3 linked regions of the Lepisosteus oculatus genome follow. The protein of the gene in region 1 interacts with the protein of each later gene in a biochemical or structural test. Links are inferred from orthologs where the notes say so. Each region holds a gene or a part of one and is shown in the gene's direction. Other genes may lie near its edges.

Region 1 (7,335 bases):
GTCCTTCCTCTACCTTGTGGACACAGCATTTGTTATAATTTTAATTGCACATCTGTATTTTTTAACTGCACGATGTTTTTTTATCACTATTCTACACGGGAACATTTTATAGTACCCGTGTATAGTAACAGGATTAGTTGTTCAGTTTTTTCTTCCAGGGCAGTTCTTCTATTCTGTTTTTTCTTACTCAGGGAAAATGACCAGGACATGGATTAAAAGTAAAATTAACAAACAATATCAAACTTAATATTTCTTTCTTGTTTCTTGAACACAATGCAACATCCAAAAATAATGGAGCACTTCATTTTTCTTCCTTCCCCCAAGCAAAACATATGCAAATGTTATATTGTGAGGCCAGGCATCTTTTGTTTTATACAATGGTGTGAAATTCTGATTCTTACATGTTCTATGGTTACACTTAAATGCCTCATTATATGATAGTATTTTGTTTAACAAGGATGCTTTCTGTAAGTTGAAAGGTCCAAACCTGAAAATGACACAGTGGAAATGATGGATTGTAAATTTCAGGTTAACGGTTTCAGAATTGAATGGATGGTCATATGTTTTAATGCTCAATTCAAATCTATCATAATGGTGAACAAATACAAATCTGAAAAGAAGTGGTACACAATTGCTCTTCACTGCAATTCTTATATTGATCTATTGTTACTCCTTTACACTTGGAGCCATGTTACATGGGTATTGGCACTTGCATATATTCGTATAACTCATGTAGGAGTATTAGAGATCATACAATATCTTGTTTGATAGGTGGGGCTTTGCTCAGTTTTGTATATGGGTTTCCTCTTCTATTCTCTCTGATTATGCCACATTCAGAAACATGTTTGAAAAGAAGAGTCTGTCTCCTTTATCAAACAAAAATTGATTAGTAGATTTCTGATGTCCTTACAACAAGTGGTCTGAACATTATGTACTGTAAGTGAACATTTGTGTATGGATGAAGGTTATCAAAAGGTTATTATTCCTCTGTGGAAGATATCTTCATGTTGGAAGCCCCAAAGCACAAATTATTAAGGGAGAACAAATTCACTTTAAAATTACATTTAATTTAAACCAGGACCAATAGAAACATAATACAGTGAGGGGCTTGCATTTGTCAAATCTGACATCAGAACAGCTGAGAGAAATGGAGAAGAATATGCACTGGGAGCTAAAACTAACACAAAGAGTTTTTTTTTTCACTACTGAAAGTCTGTTAATTGTAGACAATGAAAAAGGAACAACAAGTACTGGTATATTGACCAAATGTTTTCACTGAAGAGAGCTCAGCATCCCTTAGGCTCCATTTGGTTTTGAATAATCTTAACTCTCTGTAGAGTTAACTAATTGGCTGGACCTGATGACCAGGTCCATAAGTCTTTCAGGAAATAAAGAATGTGACAGGTACCCTTAACTGGGATATTTCAAATGACTCGTGTTCCCAGTGAAAAAATGCAGATGATGCATACATTCAGAGGAAAGGCTGAACACTGAACCAGAGACTTTATGCCAGCGACGTTTATATCTCTTTTTGCAAGGTTAGGAAAAAATAAAATCTACATTGGAAGGTCATGTTGACTGTTAATAAATATGTCCAGTATAACAAACTGAATCCACATGGATTTAGATAGGGTTGGTTTAATCTGAAAAATGTTAGATATACAGTATTTTAATAGGTTTGAGAGTATCAATAATTTCACCTGAAGAAGGCTCCACGGCCAAAACATTGTGTTTTTTCTTCTTTTTTTCAGCATGGAATAAACCTATTACTTGTTCCTTTACAGCCTAAGCATGCTGACACATCTACCCACCTGAACTAATTGAGTAATTATCATTCAGAGAGAGAAAGTGAGGGAAATAGGAAAGGCTCTGTGTGGAGGTGGCCACGCCCCTGGACTAATTGAGAGGTGTAGAAGAACAGTCAGTAAGAAAAGGGTCTCAGTGTGGGTCTAGATTTCAGGTTGGTAGGAAACAGAGTGAGAGTTCCAAAGGGAGGTTTCAGTGGCAATGGGCTGATTAAGTTAAGAGGCCTTTTGGGTCACAGTGACCTAGAGGCTGGAGAAAATACATCTTAGGCTCTAAGGTGATGTTCTTGCATTGAAATGGCAGGGTGGTGATTGTAATTTGCTGAACAGGTTGATGGTGCAACAGAAAGACTACAAGAGGACATGATCCAAATGCTCCATTCCATTGCCACTAAAGACTTTTGTAGTTGTTTGTTTATTTTTTTAGTCATGGATTTATGCACCTTGTTTTGTGCAGGGCTTATACATTTGAATTCAATGTTGTTGTTTTTTTGAAAATTGGGTGTAAAGTACAGTACTGAAGTCCCTGAAGTTTCCAAGGGTCAGATTGCAATCATTAGATGGCTGGAGTAAATGGATTAGGGATTGATTCGGTTTGGGTATTGAGAGAAAGAGTGGGAAATTGGGAGATTTATAGTGATTTGTTAGAAGGGAATGTTGGCTATAATAACCTGGAGTAATTAGCAGGGCAGGTGACTAGAAATGTGATTTAAGATGGTGAATGGAACTAGAGTATTGGGGTATAATTGCAAATTCTGGATTTTGTTTTTACTCTGACTGCTTTTTATATATTTCATTGCCTTTCAGCCAGGATGTTTTTGTATACTTTGAAACACAAAGGACAGTTGGATAATTCATGGGTCAAATTAATTGGAACTGTTGCCTGTTATTAGTCAAGGTTAAGTTGGGTTACATACAGTTCACCAACAAGCAGAAATATCTTGTGAGAGTATCTGTCCTGACATAGGTGGAGTGAGTCTAAGTGATCCTGTTGATTTTGGCATGGGGCTGACGGAACTATTCCCAATCTTTTTATAGCCAAGTGGCTGTTTAGGGACATTGAGCCATTGATAGTGGCGGTGGCCCCTATTACAGGTTAGAGAATCAACCTGGATTAGAGGCTTCATTGTGGGCTTCTCCCTTATGTTTGTTTTTATAATCTTTGCTACACCACCATAGATTAAGTAGGGGAACATGTCTAATTTCAGGGATATTAGATGACTTGTACAGTATTTTATCTTTGAGTCCAATGTGGTTTCTGTGTGGTGACATTATTACCCGTGCCTCTTTAGATTTTATTATAACTTGCATTTTTATATATAATTATATTACAGCTTCTGTTCTGGCTTTCTGCATCTATTATGGTCATTTTCTGGTTATTCCTTGACTTACCTGGGTTATGTTGATGGTGGTGGTGGTGGTGGTGGGGTTGGGATTGTTGATAATATTCTGGGTTTAAAGTTGATCCCAGAACTCGTTTGTTTAAGAGCGGGAGTAGGGGGGAAGGATTCAGACTTTTTCTGAGATCCAGGGCTTGATTATCAGTAGATGGCATAGTCAAGGATTAGTAAATATGGTAGGAATAAATAAATCTGACCTACAGTAGATGACTACTTTGAAACAAGTGCTTCTGAGAAGGAGTACATTTAGCATTGAAATTGGGGAAGCACTTTCCTAGAAGTGTTGGGGGGAGTCTGGAACAAACTGTACAATTGTGGAATTCTGGAATATGATTCAACAAGAACTAGATGTACAGACACTAAATGTATTGAATAGCAGCATTGATTTATTGTAGCAGCATCTCTTGGGTGAATACTGCATTTCAGCGGTGAATGAAGAGGATCCCACTCCTATGTTTACAACTCTTTAGGATGAAAAAGGCTATATGAATGCAGGGAGTTAAAAGCTTCTAGCACCCAAATAACCAAGATGGAATGGCTGATTGGTTTCTTCTCTTGGAACATTTCGTTACAATACAAACACTACAGTATTAAATGATGTAGCAAGTATTTATCCTTTGCTCTTTTAGTGTTTCATTTGTGTTTACTTCTATACCCTGCTAAAAACTTAGAACATTTAAGCAAAAAAAACGTATCGTAAAAATGCAACCTATTATATAAAGTCAGTAAACATGCATAATTAAGCTTATGCTCAGAACTAATAACCGCTTTACACAGGTATTCAAAAAAGATGTTAGTTTCTAGAAACCCGTTTAAAACTAACAAACGCCAATTATTTTGAGAAATAATCCTCTGAAATGTGGTATGAAAAAACGTAGGGACGTTCTTATATTTTGAGAAAATTGCTTTCAATGACCGTGTGATTTTGAGAAAACCAAGACATAAGCAATAAACACTCAAAGAGCACATTAATAACGCTGGTACAATAAAGTACACCACCTACTGCAACACTGCCTGATGTCTTCAGACACTGTAGGGATTAAGCTCCGCCTCGCACTCAAATGCAGGAGCGCGACACGTGATCCCCCTTGCCAAAATCCAGTATGGCGGAATCTGTCAGTGAGTGACTCCTTCGCTGGCGCACTCTCCAACGGGAATTAAATACATTACTTTTTTCAGACTGGAGTGACCGCCTCCCGGGGCAGGTAGGTGAGCATTGATTCAAAGTAGCGTTCTCCTCTTCAAGTGCCTCTGCTCACAGCAAGCACTGAGTGACAAGTTTGTATTAAAAAAAGCAAAACAATGTGTGCCTGTGGGTAGGTATGCAGTATCTTAACTGTGTTTTGTACCGTATTTAAGTTGGTCGCACTCACGTTCAACATTTTTTTTTTCTGAATCGCTACCGTTCTACCGAACATGAATGTTTGGGAGAATGGGTGGTATTTTAACGGTCGTTAATGAACATCGACCAATCTGTGTCAGGTAAGAGCCTCAGATAGTGGAAGATGGACAGAGACGCCGGCCTATAGGCGTCATGTTTGGGCGGTCTGGCGATTCATTCGCGTAATTGGCCGTCCGTCTGGCCTATGACAATACGAGTTGTGTTCCTGGTGGATCGAGAGGGCGTAACTGCTCAGATTTAATGATTGACACAGACCTTTGCCAATCAATGCTCGCAACCAAAAGGGGGGAAATCTGTAATAACCAGTCATATTAAGGATGATTTGAGTGGGCGGTTTTGAAAGTGTGCATCGGTATTTTTTTGTGAATGAGGGTAGGTTGTTTTTAATCTGCTGTCCCTCCCAGATTGTAAGGATCAGGGTACAATAATATTTTTGTGCGTCTGTACAGCAACCAGGTAGTTACAATTTGGTGCACATACAGTATAATAACCTCCTTGATGTGTATCATTGTTGCTTTAAGACGTTGTCTTATGGAGAAAAAAAAGGCGTTTTAAGGTCTATTAATCATTTGGAAAGTGTCCTTATTTTCAATAAGATTATTAAATTGAAATCTTATTATGTATACAGTACAGTTTTTTCGAATTCTTCACTTTACATTGAGAATACAAGGCGTTTATCAACCGTAAAGTAAGGGGAGTTTTTACATGGAATTTGGGCTGTTTTCAGTGTACTGCTGGCTGTACTGAAATGATCACGCACCGCCAGACTGTAGTCTTAACAAAAGCGTTACAGTGATGTGCACCAACGGAAAAGTATGATTTCATGAATCCCTTCATGTCTGTGGTATGCATTAAGAAATGGCAGGTACCTTTTCGTGTAACGGTAACCCATGCGAAGGACAATGTTGGCTGTACACAGCAACTGTGGAAATCTGTAGAAAAATTCTGTAACTATGCGCATCGTAGGACGTGCCAAAACTTACAATAAGGTAGCCAGCAGCATGTTGCTGTCTCTCGGCTCTAGAATCACGTTACTGAGCACGGATCGCAGACTACAGTTTACGAATGAATGAAAGTTTGATTGATACTCGTGGGCTAAGAACACTTCAGTTCTTTGTATTCAGCCCTCTTAATTTTTTATTTGGGCGATTTGCTTTGAGATGCGCAGTACATTGGTAAATAAAGTGTATTTATACGTGGCCCATGGGGATGACCCGTAACTTTATTTCGTCAATGTTGAAATGACAAGTATATGTTAAATATTTCTCTCCCGACATTTCTGAAAAGTAAGGAGCAAATAAGATTTACTGCCCTTCTCATTACACAGGAGCTGCAACAGTACAGCAAAAAGTCCCGTTTTCATCGACCGTCTGCAGAATGACTGTAACATCTTGAGGACAGTGTTTTGTGGTGTGGGTGTTTGATTCGGTGTTGGCCCAGAGAAAAAAAAAACAAATATTGAGGAAATCCTAACTTTTACATATCGAGTCCTGGTCCTGGAGGGCCATTGTGTCTGCGTTTTTTCTAGGTGTCTTTATTGCAGTCCCATGTCAAAAACTGAGAAAAGCCCGCTCTGTTGAACCAGGATTAAATGTGACTGTTCTTGGGGAAAATAGGCTTCTACAAATTACTGCTGTAAATTTATTTTAATCACAGTTGTTTTTTTTAAATAAACAATTACTCCACTTCGTTTAAAATGTGGTTTGAATTAACCATCGCCTTCCTGTCCTTTATTCTGAAAAAGATAGCTCCAACACTGAAAGTCACTTCTTTTAAGTAGAGTTCACCATGTTCAAATAAATTATGCTGTCAGAGCACTGAAAGTGTGTTAATCGATTTGCACAGTTATCTCGGCAGGTCTTTCAACGAATGGCATGCCAACACAAAACTTTTATTTATAAAAGTCACAAGCTTGTTCTCACAGATTGGATATGCTGTTCCGATTGGATGTCGTAAAGCTGGTTTTGAAGTATATAAAAAACAGCCTCATGAAAGCTCGTTTTCTTTGTGCGTTGACATCCAAAGACAACCAAGAACAGGTGAGAAAAGCAACGGTATAGTCAGTGGAGAATGTCGCACCGTATAGGAGAATTGAGCTGTTAAATGTTTTATTGTGTGATACTGTGGCAAAGATCTCAGCTGTATAATGACTGGCTATGGATTTAACGCCAGCCTTGTTTGGAGTCCAGAGTACTTGTTACTCATGAATTCCAGGCACCACACAAATGTTTTATATCCCTTACACAGCTTGGCACAAGGGTATGACTTTAAATAATGACTTCATTTTGGGAATAGGTGATTTACTTTTTATAGTTTAGGATAACAATTGAAACCTATTTGAGGATATTGCGGATCAATTTTACGTTCAGGCAGATAATGAACATTTACTGCTGTTTAATAATAGACTCTAATGTCTGCTGTAGTGTGTCTCACATCCTATCAGAAGTTTGGGCTTATGCCAGTCTAGCACAGTAAACATTGGGGTGGGGTGGGGGGTACGGGGACATTTAAAACAAAATTAGCTAAAAAAAAACAAGACACTGGAGAATAACAGCCTTTTGGTTTTAGAATGTGATCTGTATGGTTAGAAAAACCAGGGGCCTTTTGCTGTCTCTCTCTTTTTTTTAATGAATTAGTATACATGTAACTCAATTAAAAGCTGGTACCATATTGAACAATTCCTAAAGCATTTTTACACAGACTTTGTGTATTTTGTTTGCAAAGCTTA
Region 2 (7,253 bases), on another chromosome or scaffold:
ACGTTCACTGTTTCTGTTCATTTTTCCCTTTAACTTTGGAAACATTATACATTTTTAGAAATGTTTGGATCACATATGGCATCATTACATCATAGTTCAATTCATCTATATTCTAAGTACGCATAAAAAGCTAAGTTAAAGAATTGCATTTACAATATTTTATTATAATTGCGTATGAACTAATCTAGTTACTTCAAATTAATTTGACTTCCCATATTACCTATGAACAGCCGCTACTTGTTACATACAGAACTACTGTAGGTGCATCACAGGGGCTTTAAACAGATGTCCTGGATTGACAGTATATTTTGTGACACAACAGGGTTATGTTCATTTATACATGTTAGACTAGTGTCTGTGTATCTTATGTATGTAATAGTATTGAATTGGAAACTTGTTACAAACGAGTTCTCTGCTTAAGGTGGCACAACCTGGAAAGGGCAGGTAAACATTCTCTCAAACATTGGATTGTATTAGATCCATTGTACAGTATATTAAATACCTTATATCACAGTCTGTATTTGTTATGTAAGCATACAAATGTACAGGAGACCCAGTAGTGGTAGACTTCATTCGAAGAGATGTGCATCTGTTTGAAGGACTTTGAACTTCACCAATAAATGGAAGGTGTGTCAGTAGCAGCAAATCACTGATTAGAAAGTGCCTAATGGGGCCTCTGGGTCTTTGTCACATCATGTTCCTGCTCACACGCAACTTTCTGAGCCTCCATGAATAAACAGCCTCCCTGCAGGTAGAATAGCCCGTGACCAAACAGGCATAATGAGTGGTGTATAGAAAAATGTGCAATTGCTTCTTCCTGCTTTTCGTAAAATATGTCATCAGTTTGCACCTCATGTTATGAGGCTGCACTCCATGTCCTCTGTACAATTTAGATTTATGTAAAAAATGTAGCTCTGTGGCTAAAGATCTGTGCCTGTGGCTAGAAGCAAGGTCCTTAACCCCAGCTGCTCCAGGGGCACCGTATAAATGGCTGACCCTGCGCTCTGACCCCAAGCTTCTCTCCCTGTCTGTGTGTCTCATGGAGAGCAAGTTGGCGTATGCGAAAAGACAAATTCTTAAAACAAGAAATTGTATATGACCAATAACGTGATCTTATCTTATCTTAAAATACCCCAAAACGGTGAAGGAACCTTGCACAGTGCATGTGGGTTTTTTTTCTGTGCTTTTTCAGCATATGAATAACTGTCTGACTTGTACTGACCTCATGAGATATTCAGAATTGTGGGCTTCAACCTGCAAAGATGTTGTCACCTGAGAGCAGGTTGATCTCTGTGATGAAAGCTTCAGGGGTTCAGTCCTGGGTCGCGTCACTAACTGATGGTGACTGAGATTTCCCCTTAGTGTTTGCGCCAGATCTGGCTGAGCACCACAGAAAAAAAAGGGGTGGGATTAGTAAACTGGGGTTCTCTCGGGTCCCAGCAACCCCCCAGATTTCCTGGGTGCTCTGGGGGAGGTGCTGTCATGTAATTGGGGTTCCGTAGCCAGTGAAGAGTGGAAGGCCTTGAAGGCAGAAAGGTAAGAGGAGTCTTCATACACTTCCTCATTCTTCCATGTGAGGTTGCGGGGTTCATAGCCATTAGCTGAATCAGGTAAAGTAAAAATAGGTGATTCTAAAATTCAAACAAAAGACTCCAAATGGTGTTTTACTGCCTAAATCCAAAGGTGCAGTGAAGGCAATGGCACTTTTAATTAAGGTGATTTTTTCAGATTGTAAAATTTGGATATATAGGCTTATAGCTGAGTTAAAACACATATTAGAAAACGTATTAGAAAACATATTAGAAACTTTAGCTGTAGTGTAAACCGTACTCCTCATATAATAAAGTCCAGCTCATTTTGTGAAACTGTGAACCAGATTCCATCATATTTTTAAGGTACCTAGTGTTCACATATTTTAATCCCATTACATGACTGAGCACAACATTCTTAGGAATCAGTCTGGATTTGTCATCTACTGTTTGCACATTCTGTAGGTGTTCATATAATCTCATTTCAATTCTAATATTCATATCTACATTTCCTGTCACTAGGTTTGTACTTTAATTTTATGCTTTCGGAAAATGGGGAGCATATTTGGCACTGAAAAACGTTGAAAATCCTCATCTTAATCTTTCGAAGGCATTTCCACGTCAGTGCTTTAGAAGCGATCATGTAGTCTAAAATTCAAGGGCTCGCCATAGCATTACATCATAATGAGCTATGAGTTTTATTTTCTCTTGATTACAGCCTTGTTCTTCACCTCAGGAGGTGTGTGCCTGTAAGGCGAGTAAACATGGCCTTCCTGTTTAAAATGAAAACAATAGGGAACAAAGCAGAAAAAAGCCATAGAAAAAAAACCCCGTAAACTGATCCCATTCAGAGCTGGCTCTTCAAGAGTGAGGGGAGGTGAGTTTTCCAGGTTAACAACTTCCAGTCTGGATAGGGGGTAAGCCCTTTTGCACACTTTTGGGAGGGGTCTTCAGAACTAAAATTTTACCTAAAAAAATCCCAACAAACACTTAACAGCTCGAGTCAAAACCCTAAGTACCACAAATGTTCCTTTAATGAGGGTGGCAGCTTGTGGTTAATGGCATTTCCATACTGTGAATCATTATTTTAACCACTCAGCTCCTGCCTTTCCTAATATACATTGAGGAGTGGTGTCGATTCCTTCTGCAGGCTTGCAGCATCCGAGATGAGTAAAGTCCTTGACTGTTGTGGTTCTGTTCCTTATCCGCGAAGGAAACTCAGCTGCTCCCAAAGGAGTAATCGGCCGTTAACTTGTTCCTATTAAAAGAAATTAGGCAAAAGGTTATGTCGTTATATATTGTGCAAAATCAAATTCCCAGGGAGCTGGACAATAAAGATTTTGGGATGTGCAGCACTTGCCAGAAGTGTGTTATTGAAAAAATTCCAGTAAGACTTGTGGAATCCCAAGAGTGCTATCTGGTAAAGAATGATATCTTCTCATAGAGATAACATAGGTTTTGAATTTATACCTTAAAATTGATCTTATGTATCTGCAGCCCAATTTATTCTCACCATATGTGTTAAAATAAATACTGGTGTATGTACATTCATGCTTATTCTCAGAATATAATTAGTTTAAATGCCTTTCTGTAGCACTCAACCAAGAGTTGAGTTCACCTCTTGTCATTAAGGTTCTACACAGCTCCTATTCTGACTTCCTTTGTGGTATAACAGACTTCTACAAGTTGTCTTGCGTGCCCTATCATATAATCATTTCAAATATTGGAGTGCCATAGTAACTTATTTGAGTTTATTTGCCCACTTCGTGTTGATATTCTTCATTTTAGCCAAACACGTACAGTACTACTATGTTTGAATCACAGCTTTACCATGACTAAGATTTCATCTTTTGAACATGATGCAATTTTGTTGCACGTGGACCCATAATATGTTTTATGCCACATCTTGACCCACATCTTGTAAAGCTCTGGGTTAGCATTGGGAAAAAATAAAAAATACATTTTGTGCTAACCTGCAGTCTAACCAGGTGGTCTGATTCATGTGGTAGAATTAATGGATTCAAAGAAAATTAATTTTCTAACCTTTTTTCTGTTTTTTAGAGATGATCTTTCGAAATTGCTTATGACTCTATGTCATAAGCTAATTTCAGTACAAACTTTGATCCACTGCTTAATAATGTCATGAAATATCTTACTTTATGTGTTTTTCATCACTGTAAAGCAATTTTTCCTCATAATAAAATAGTAATTGTATTGTTTTTTGGTCTTAAAATTCCAGTATTTTTTAACTTCCAACTGGAACCACGTGCTTCTGTGATAGATTCCCATGACTCTTACCAGGAATAAGCAGTTTTTAGATAATGGGTGGATGTAATTGATCGAAACACATTCACATAAGTTTAATTTCAGATATTCATTAAACATTTCAGAATATATTATTTTCAGGGACACAAAATTGTAAATCTTGTTCAAATAGTGCTTAGTTAACATTCAGACTGTTTTTTATTTTATTTTATATACATAGTAATAGTACCAAAGTTTGCTTTCATATGAAACCACCCAGTTCTACGTAAAACAACTGCAGGATATTGGCAAGACAAAAAAACTCACAACAAAAAACATTATCTGTCCCCCATCAAGAGAAGTGCAACTGAGTGTCTGTAAGTAGGAATGAAGCAACAGGAAGTCATCTGCGTTTACTAATACTCCACACTGAGGCCACATGATTGTTAGCTGTCTGCACTTTTGCTAAGGTTATGTTGTGTCAAAAGCGGAAAATGTGTGTTTTAGTTCCTACTAATTGGGCAAATCCACCAAGGGCATTACCCACTTGCTAAAAGTCAAAAGTTCATCGCAACCACCTCAATGGAAAAATCATAAATTTTGGATGCCAGATGTCACAGCTTTTTAAAACAGTGTATGGTGAGTGCTGACCCTCGTCTTTTTTTATTTTTCATGGAGTGTTAGTGAATTGGTTCCCTAGCATCAGCATCAGCATAAGTTCTGCCAGTCGGCATTTCAAAACATCCAAAATGTGGAGGGAAAAGGAAACTATTATAAACTAGTATAACAAAAGCAAAAAAGAAACTTTTCACACGACTGTAACGGCTCTTGAATTAGCCATGGAAAATATATTTGTGAAGTTTTAGAAATTGTATAAGTTTGCTAAAACCTATAACACCTAAAATTGTCCAATTCTGGTCCAGCAGGGCGGGTGTGTCACAGCCCTCCCTTAGATCAGATCTCATCTCAGGATCAATAAGAAATATCTGTTAGTCGAAAGTGTCTATGTATTGAAATATGAAATATGTCTATTCTTTAACAAGCAAACAAACCTCTCAAGTAGTTTATGTCTGTTGCTATTAAAATATTATTTCAGCTCCTACTGTACGTGGAATACTAACAATTTAAGGGAAGAAATGTCTGATTTGGTAAATGATTCAAATTAGATAAGATATTAATTTGGAAAATGCAATAAGCTCGGGGGGTTTTCCCTCAGCTTCACATTTTGTACCACCCTGCTGATCGAAGAAGGAGGTTATTTCAAAAGCCTACCGTCGCGTTTCAGCGATGACCTAAATCTGAACTAGCCTGGTATACAGAAATGTATCATTTTTCAAAATGTAGAAATTTTGAAAGGTTGCGCGATGAACTAACCTGGGCAAAGAAACGAACTGCTGCCAGGGTCAGGAGTTCACAGCCTCTTCTGTTCAAGAGGCAAAACCCTGCTATTGGTTTTGAGGTTTCTTACTCAGCGCCTCAGTGTGTTCTCTGGGCTTTCCACTGTAGATGAAATGATTGAAAAAGCAGAGGTGTATGTCAGGAAGCTGGACAATTTTTACATGTAAAACCTATTCTGCACCATATGATTTTGAAACAAATGATTTGTGTTCATCTGTGAAGTACAGTATAAATAAACTTTTTCTCACTGAAAGTTATTTTTTTGTAAAGATGTCAAACTGTAAAGATATTCTCAAAGTTGACTCCATTTATCATATCTTTTTTTCTTTACGCATTTGATAATGTTATGTGTCTAGACAGCTTGCAAGAAGTATTCTAGTTCTGATTGCACAATAGTGTACAGTGCAATACAGGGTGTTCTTCATAGTAAGCCCTGCTCATATTTTGGAAGAATCTTGAGAATTGTGTAGGTGTTTCTTAAATATTATTTTATTACTGACATTGTTATCTAGTTCCCTTTAAATATTCATTGTTTCTTCTTGGATTAAAAGAGGTGATAATATGTATGCCATTTGTAGCCAGTTATTTTATTGTATACATCTGACCTTCGCGTATCCATGTGGAAAATCTATACATTGTTTTTTTTTCAGGACAGTCACCAATGATAAGAGGCCATTCTGGTGATGACGATCATTCGGTTCCGTTTTCTTCACAGTCTCACTACTAATACTGGGAACAAACCCCCAAGTATGAAATCCCCCTAAACATTCCCCCCAGAAAGGGATCATTTACAATTGCCACTAAAATTTAACAGTTGTGCTAACTGTCATGCTACCATGGTGCCAGTGTTGAAAATGTAAATGTGATAAATCAACCAGAAACTAAAAAAGATCCCTACCCTTTTATCTTGATATTTCTCTTTCTATGACACTTCAAACATAATTCCAGTTCTTCATGTCTTAGAAACAGGTGGCTGTGATAAGGATATGAGAAAGGTTGTAGTTGGCCCTTTCTGCCCGTTTAGTTGCTAGTAGCTAATTAAACTGAGAATCTCAATCGGGAATTTTTTGGAAAGAAGACTGGGCCTTGGCATCAACAGCAAGGCTCGGGATCTTGTTCCAGACTCCCACAACCCATTTGGAGGTTTGGAGATTTAGATCTGTTGTTAACAGAAGTAGCTGGAGTAAATGGTGACCTCTTGTTTGGAACCCTTCCTGCATTCTTCTTTAAAAATCTTATCTTCCCTTTGGAAAGTGTAAATGAGTCCATTGCATTGTACGCTTTGATTATTACATTCATGTTCTCCAGACATGTTTGTGAAAAAACATTGTCACACAATAAAGGCATCTCCAGGACGGATACGTAATAGCCTTTTCAGTGGCACCTGTCCTAGTTTCCCTGCAAACAATCTGTTTTTGAACTAACTGTTCCAGGATTTCCATCAGACAGGCACTCAGGAGTGTCACACAGCTTTACATAAGACATTTCTTCGGGAAAATAGGCCTATCTCTGTATGGAACAACATTTAAAGTTCTAACAGTCATAAAGTATACGCAAATGTAAAATATCCTTCTTACAGTATCCATTCCCAAACATTTCTGTCAGCCTTGTCTCCTGGCCATGAAGTTAATTCAGACCAGGATTTCTGTGGCATAGCATCAGAAATGTAAATATGATACTATCTCTGAAGATAATGTAGTTTCCACTCAAATCTTAAATATCTATGCATTAGTCAAGGATTAAATTGATTAAATCAAAGCAGACAAGTCGGTGAAATATCTGAAATTATTCAGGTATTTTCTGATGTAGCTTCTTTTTGTTGTAGAAGCTATAATGATTACAATACAACTGACAAGAACATATACTAAATTGTAAAGTTTTCTAATTCCAAGAAGAGAGTTACAGAGTAAGGAGATCCAAACATAAATAAAGGTTGTTGTGAAGACTGGGCTAGCTGCTTGTTTAGTCATATTTCTAGGATGACTTATCCTTTTTCAAGATATTGCTGAATGTGGTCAAACAGGTTGCACCAGTGTTAGCCCTGTTCTGTACAAAGATGGTAGCTCTTGCTTTTGTACTGAA
Region 3 (7,504 bases), on another chromosome or scaffold:
GTATCTACGGTAGGTTCTAACAGAGGGGATTTCACTTCTGTAACATTCTCAATGCCACTCAGTCCCGTTACAATGCCAGTTAGTGACACTCTAGTTAGTAACAATTGAAAGAGTGGTGTGTCTCTCACCGACGTCACTGAAAACTTGCAGTCACCTGTTAGGTCCCAGGAATCACAGTGAATGCTAAAACAACCCAAACTAAATACTGCAGTATTGCTCCTGGAACACAGGTAACAGCTGACTAGCGACTTGGTCCAGGCTCTTAGCAACAATTTCAAGCTTGATAAGATATTAATTTTAATACTTTTTGTAACATAATTGTATTCAACCAACCACAGTTACCCGCTACACAGCAAGGATCAGACAGAGATCTTTGGCAGATGTGTCCTAGTACAGTAATTAAAGTCAGGAAATATACTGTAAATGTGTGAAAGATATAAGAAGATATACTGTAATATTATCTTCCAAACTTTCTGTTTACATGTACATTTTAGCCAAAGTTCTTGAGATTTGTTTTACTTGTTTTATCAATAGTGAAGCAAAGAAAAGAGTATAGTTCACATTTCTACATTGTGAGTTAATAGAAATAACCACTTATTTCATCATCATGCTCTACAATATGATCTTATATCCTCATCTGTGATTCAGACAAACCTCATGTACTGTAGCATTGAGTGCTGACTAAAGTTTTCAGATACAGTAGATACCCAGCTCTTGGAAGACTGACAGACCTTGCTCAAGGTGGACACATTTAAACCATTGCTTAAGCACTTATTAAGGGAGGTATTAACATGTCACAGGAAAAATGAATAAGCCACTTCACATTGCTGAAGATTTAAGGATCTGGAACAGTCTTTGTTAGTGCTGGGAGTCTGAAGATAGAAGAAGACTGTCACGAAGTGTTTTTCAGGACCCTATGCAGATGGCAGAATCTGGAGGGGAGTGAGACAAACACAGGGAAAACGACTAGGATTGGGGCTGGAAGAAAAACAGGGGGTGTCAACTCTCAGATGTTGGTGACCACCGGGATCTCCAGAGCATTAGTATCTCACCGTCCTTGAAAATAACACTTCCATCACCAAAACATTCTGCAGTAAGTCCAGTCTGTAAGAATAAATATTTACAGTAATTTAACAATATCATGTATTAAACACAAGCAGTATGTCCTCTGGATACTGGTGAGTGTACAGTACCAGCTACCAGGCAGGACTTATATTACATATATGTTCTTTTTAAGAGTTAAAATTGTATTTTTTATAACGAATTGGATGTCACATTAGATTCAGAAGATAAGATAGACATGTGCTGGGCTTTGCATGCAGGTAGCAAAAATATAAACTATAAATACAAAATGGGAACTCCTAAGCTGGAAACAGCTACTTATGAAAAAGGTTAATGTTTATGTTGACACCTTATGTACATTTTCTATATAATGTGTAAAAGCTAGAGATTAAGATACATGAAATAATGAATGCATTCTTTTTTATGCCAGATATTTAACAAATGCAATTGCATAGCTTTGGAGCAGCATCCCTTCTTAAATCACTCAGCATGTATCAATTTGGAGATTTCTTCCTTACTAATGTATTGTCTCATTAGCTTTAAATACTTGGAAGCAGTGAGGCAGAAAATCAAGAAAAACTCTGGTGCTCACAAGAGTAAGTCTCACCGTGTGGGCTGAGGTAAGGCCACAGCCATTCGATGTTGATTGGCTAGGAGGAAACAGGAATTGACAAGAGACTACTGCACAACCTTTGGCTAAGAAAAAAAAAATAAAACTGAAAAATGTCAGAGCTCTGAGAAATTAAATTACAGCAGCAGCTCCCTGTGCCCAGATCACTGTGGTTAAAAGAGGAACAATGGCTTTCTACTTTCTCATCATTCCTCTCAAACTGAGTCATCTGTGGAATTTGGTTACTCAGTTCTGTTCCATTCATGTGTAGGATGATTTTGCCCTCTTCTCCCAATTTCAGGGAACCAAAACGTTTTTCTGAGGTTTTAAAGCATTTACTGGGCAATAACATTACAAGTTCTCAAGCTATCTGTAGACCAAGCCAGACAAAAAATCACCTTTTAAAAGCAGGAGAAATATGAGCCTTCAAAAACCTCATGTGTTAGTGTCACCTTTTACCGACCGCTGGAGAAATAACGACTATACTGTAGGGATGAAAGCTGTACTGCACAATCACTTGTATAAATCTATTCTGGAATAGATTTTGCCTGTTTATGAGGGCATCTGTAAATTAAACTTTAAATACAGACTTCAATAGTTAGCATATAAACCATCTGAATTCCTGTCTTTGGTTGCATACAGTAAATGTTTTACAATGCATTGTTGTTTTATATGGACACAAATGTTTGAGAATCTTATGGTGTAGAGTATCGTCATATTAAAGGGGAAAGTTGGTCAATGGTGAGTATGATAATTTAAGGACTTATGCTTTACTTTTGAAGAAAACAACTTGCAACCTGTGCAAAGTATTTAAATACGTCATAAATATATTCACTTTTAGTTGTGGTAAGGAAGCATGAAGATTTGATTTCATCAAGTTGCAGAGTAGAAGAATCTTTGTAAAGATGCCATTGTCTATTCACTCAATGGTACGTAATCCTCTCCTCCTGCTCATGCTGTGTACTGTATAAACAAATGTCCCAGAATAAATTTAAAACCTTTGAGATGTGAGCAAATCATGTAAAACAACAATCAAAGTTTACCTATTGAAGTGAAACAAAATGGGGTGATTTAACATTAAAATAAAACCCACTGTTTAAAATCCATAGAGGACAAAACATAACCCTCTCCTCAGCATAGAAAAGCCACTAGAGGACTCTCTGAGCTTATAAATGCTGGCCAGACACACCCCCACCCCATATTTAGGAAACAGGAAATTGGCAGTTGGTTTATATTGCAAACCTACAAACTATGAATAAGGGAAGTAATTCAAAACCAAATAAAGGTAAGTACACTACAGCAGCTGACTGCAAATACAGCACTGTATATACACACTACAATATACTGTATATATCATAACTTTAACAATAATGTAACCCACATTCAGCTATAAATACAATTGTTACTAAGTTACACAATGCAGTAAACTCATATCCTAAATATGGATCACTACTATGCGTTCTGTAAAATACCACCTAACAGCTACAGTAAATGCTTTGTACTGTATATCCACCAGAATACTGCATATTGTCAGGTTATTTTGAGGGCACATACATTCTCTTGTTTACCTCTCCAACAAAATTCTCATACAGTACCTTCATCTTGATTTTTTTTTTCATAAAGGTGCATTGACTTGGTTTTCTGTGTTAAATTCTGGCTAAGCAGGGATTTCTTTTTTGCCTAGCCTGCATGGTGCCTGTGTTTTTGAGACACAGTCACAAAAGGTTGGGCAACTGCTGACAGACATACATTTATCTACAATATCACTTAACTACAAAACAAGGTGCTTACAGATGGTCTCCCCTCACTGTCCTCCCGTGACATCAGTGAACGGCAGTCCATTGAACCCCACGAATGTTAGATTTCAGATCTGAAGGCAGGTAGTAATTACACAAGACCAGATCTGTAGGGTAAGACTAGTGTTCACAAAACAGTGGCTTGACCAAAATAAAATATGACAAGCACATTGTTGTGAAGCAATAGCATACTGTTGGGCAACACAACACCCCCCCCGTTGATAACTTGCTTTAGTTTTTTCATCAAAATTGTTTTCATAATATCCTGTTAGTTGTTTTGTTTATTATGTAAACAGCTTGATGATAATACCAGAAAATGGTTCAATGCAGATCCTTGTGAGTTACAGGTACCCCTTATTCTTCAAATGCATGAACTTCTGTTATGTCTCAAGAGAGGTGAATCAGTGTCTCTTCATCTGTAGAGTTAGGCATAACAGATAGCTGGATCTGCATTACAAAGTGAAGACCTGGAAGTTTCTATTCATAACAATTTTGAGTGTAGAAACATTGAGGTATTTATTTTTCAGAGATTTCGGAAAAGAAAACGGGATTTTGTGGATGATCACTGAAACATTTCCAAAGAAAAGCCAACCTCCGCGGGTACATCACTGATTCTGTTGCATTCATTTGCCATTACTGCGGTCTCAACTCAGGATGAGGAGGCTCCAATATAATCAATACTGCTCTTATCCCTATCGTCTATTTATTTTCTCCTCTTATCATTTTTACTCAAAATACATAAGGGGCAGAGAATTTTACAGTCGGATGAGAAAAAATAATAGCGAGCAACAATATTCTCTGCTGAAATTTCACCGTCCTTCTGTGCCACTGTCAAATATTAATATATTAATCTGTGCAAGACGAACTCGTTCGGCCCTCGCAGACGGATCTATAACGCTAAGCAAACAACGAGAGTTAAAAGTGGTTTCTCCTCCCAGTTTAACGTAACTCTCGCACTACTTTTTCCGTTTCTCGCGGTAAACGGGAGGATTTATATTCGTCTTTCTGAAATCTGGTTGCGAACATGCAGTATTGTAGAGGCACTGTTATACAGATCTGTGATTGGGGGGGGGCAACAAGACATTGTGGTTAACACAATGTATCGCATTATTTTAAAACTGCACACTCTTTAAAATAACCCAGCAACATATAAGCCAGAAAATTGTTTTTGCAGCGCGCACATGAGTCGTGGTGTTTCTGTGTGGATCGAAACCAATTAGTCCTTTAAAGATTAAAGCTGGTGTACCGCAGGTGTACACCACACAGCGAAATGACCACGCCGTACACAAACATCTGACCCATATTGTTTGCTTTTTGTTGTTGTTGTTGTTGTTGTTGTTGTTGTTATCGAACAATTCAAAATACATTTTCCTTTAAAGGCTAAAGCCGATTCAGAGGTCTTGGCGCTATAAGAAGCAGGGCACTTATTCGCCTACAGAGATAGACGCTTCGGATTTACGATTTACTGTAGACATCTTCTTGCAGAAATAGGAGATTGGTAGTACAGCTAGGGGGAGATCTGGTACAGTATCTAAAATCAGGAAGCACTCCAGAGAAATGTTATTGCACACAGAGGCTGTGTGTCAGCAGAGATCTGCCGCTTTCAACGTTACTAACGCAAGCGAGATTCAGTGATATAAATATACATTTGAGACGCAGTCAGGCGTTTTAGAATCTCCTCCACTGGATTTTTACTTTTTGTTTTTTGGGACAAGAAACCACTGAAGGAAGACTGGAACGGGGAGATCTTAACAAGATACATTTTAGAGGCATTTTTGTTCCTTCTTCATTTAGCCCGTTTCCTTCATCATGGCTACAACAACCTGTACCAGGTTTACTGACGAATACCAGCTTTTCGAGGAGCTTGGGAAGTAAGCAAGTCTCTCATTATTGGAAATAGATGTTAATAAACCTATGTTTATGTCAAGCAGTAAGCTATTGCACAAGTTATTCGGTAAGCTAGAGGGGTAAGACTGCGCGTTTAACAGTGCTTATGGGTCTATTTGAATTCAGTAACCTCCTGGTGAAAATTTGACTTGAATGAAACTAAATTTAAACGATCTGCGTTCCTTTATGCAGTATATAACCTATGTGCTCTAAATAGTGTGCATATACATGGGTGTTTATTTTTGTTGTTACAGTACATATCTGGTGGACTGCTTCGAAGGGTTGGTCGGTGTTGCATTTGTGTTTTAGACATTCGCTAGTGCAATGCGATAAGGAGTTCACTCTAAGCAGACAAAATAACGTTGTTTCAGTGCCCACCTTATATTTAAAACAGAATATCCCATAACACACGCTGTCTTGATTTCTAGTAATTAAGGTGTATAAAAAGCAACAGGCTCTCTATCCGGCTGTATAATAGTGTGATCATGTTCTTAATGATTGGATTACACGCTTTGCCATATCCCCACACTTGGAAGTAACAGAAGGTGACCTGTAGATTTATACTGTAAGTCTTTGTAATTGCTATTATAGTAGCTGTTTGCTTCTGTCTTAATATGGGACGAATTTAAATTAATCGATGTTGTCTTCCGTCCACATACTGTACAGTACATGGAGACCGTTAAAATGGTTAGACATCCTTCCAAACATACTGTAGTTCTTCATTTTGAATTTTAGTTTCAAATTGATATCATCATTGATATCTCGTTTGTAAATGAAATCCACTGTGTTCATCGCCTAGGATTTTGAACGTTGCTTTTATAAATGCGGGTGGAAAAATGTTAAGCTTGTATTTAAATCCCATGGTTTAAATACGGTTTACGCAAACAGCTGGTATGCTTATGCTGGTATAAGAAGCAATTTACATATTAAATAAGTTTAAAGATATATCTGCTGTACTGCCAGTAAAAAAATGTGTGGGGGAGGGTGCAATTAGGTCATTTTCACTTTCTTCTGTTTGCAGAGCTATTTACAGCCTTACGCCTAGACTTAAGTCCAAATGATGATTCATGGTAGTGCCAAGAGACTTTGAGGTCTTTAATATGTTCAGTTTAACTTCAGATGGTTTAGAAACACAAATGTCAAAGCACAAAAATTACCTCTAATGGGATGCAGTTCTTTTAAACCCGCTCTTTCCCAAAGGCCCAGTCTCTGAGGTCTAATTATTAATAGGGCACAGTATTCCGCAGGGATGTTTCATGTCCAAAAGATATTTTCATGATCGTTCATATTATCTTAAATGTGTATTTATATTTAAATATGAAGGTCGATCTTTTTTGCTGTATTTAATTCCTTTATATGTATAAATTGGATGTTACATATACTGTATACTGTAAATATTATGCCAAGTGATGCAGTGCTCTGTGTCTGTTCTCATTTTTATAGGGGTGCCTTCTCAGTTGTGAGGAGATGCGTGAAGATCTCGACTGGACAGGAGTATGCTGCCAAAATTATCAACACTAAAAAGCTCTCTGCCAGGGGTACGTGCCTAGAAGCCTTTCACGTTTGTGTAGGGTACCTATGGAAATGTGAAAGTGTAGTGTGGAATTGAAGAAACTTTGAAATGAAAAGCTCTTCTGCATGAATCCAGCCAGCACTTCTGTGAAATTACTGAAAAAAATCTTAACAGTGAATGTTTCCTTCCAGTAATGTTGGCAAAAAAGTCCCAGCCATTGAATATCAATAGTCTTAATTGTTTTGTATGTCTCGTTAGGAAATCTTTCCACTTGCCAATCCTCATAAAGACAAGCACCACGATACTGATTGGCTGTGTGCAAATAGTAAGATGTTTTCAATGCTTTGTAGGCTCCTCTGAAGTACCGCTTTATGACAATTGTGGAAAAGGGGCTTTTAGTGAATAGTTAGTTACATAGTAGTTCAGGTGGGTAGCTGCGTCACCATGCATAGGCTGCCAAGGAACATGTAATAGGTTTATTCCATGCTGAAAAGAGAAGGAGGAAAACACAACATTTCTGTCCTGGAGCCTTCTTCAAGGTTACATGGTTGTTAAGTAATATATATATATAACTCTTAGGCTAGTTAAGTATTTCTGCTGTACAGGTCACCGAGTTCTTAAATTTATCAAGTAATA

The links. The genes of interacting proteins can lie anywhere in the genome.
Region 2: the proteins of hdac4 (region 1) and pparg form a complex in vitro, tested with the Homo sapiens proteins (2 studies listed by BioGRID). The link is inferred for Lepisosteus oculatus from reciprocal best matches to the Homo sapiens genes HDAC4 and PPARG.
Region 3: of the proteins of hdac4 (region 1) and camk2d2, one has a biochemical effect on the other in vitro, tested with the Homo sapiens proteins (2 studies listed by BioGRID, with this or other methods). The link is inferred for Lepisosteus oculatus from reciprocal best matches to the Homo sapiens genes HDAC4 and CAMK2D.

Annotation. Positions count from the first base shown.
Region 1 is NC_090707.1:21,979,214-21,986,548, reverse strand, and holds the start of hdac4 (histone deacetylase 4), read left to right. Parts: upstream 1-4,316; 5' UTR 4,317-4,414; intron 4,415-7,335. UniProt on the Homo sapiens protein: Responsible for the deacetylation of lysine residues on the N-terminal part of the core histones (H2A, H2B, H3 and H4).
Region 2 is NC_090699.1:62,231,742-62,238,994, forward strand, and holds the start of pparg (peroxisome proliferator-activated receptor gamma), read left to right. Parts: upstream 1-4,235; 5' UTR 4,236-4,412; intron 4,413-5,821; 5' UTR 5,822-5,854; coding exon 5,855-5,918; intron 5,919-7,253. UniProt on the Homo sapiens protein: Nuclear receptor that binds peroxisome proliferators such as hypolipidemic drugs and fatty acids.
Region 3 is NC_090696.1:69,085,317-69,092,820, reverse strand, and holds the start of camk2d2 (calcium/calmodulin-dependent protein kinase type II delta 2 chain), read left to right. Parts: upstream 1-4,486; 5' UTR 4,487-5,277; coding exon 5,278-5,339; intron 5,340-6,798; coding exon 6,799-6,893; intron 6,894-7,504. UniProt on the Homo sapiens protein: Calcium/calmodulin-dependent protein kinase involved in the regulation of Ca(2+) homeostatis and excitation-contraction coupling (ECC) in heart by targeting ion channels, transporters and accessory proteins involved in Ca(2+) influx into the myocyte, Ca(2+) release from the sarcoplasmic reticulum (SR), SR Ca(2+) uptake and Na(+) and K(+) channel transport.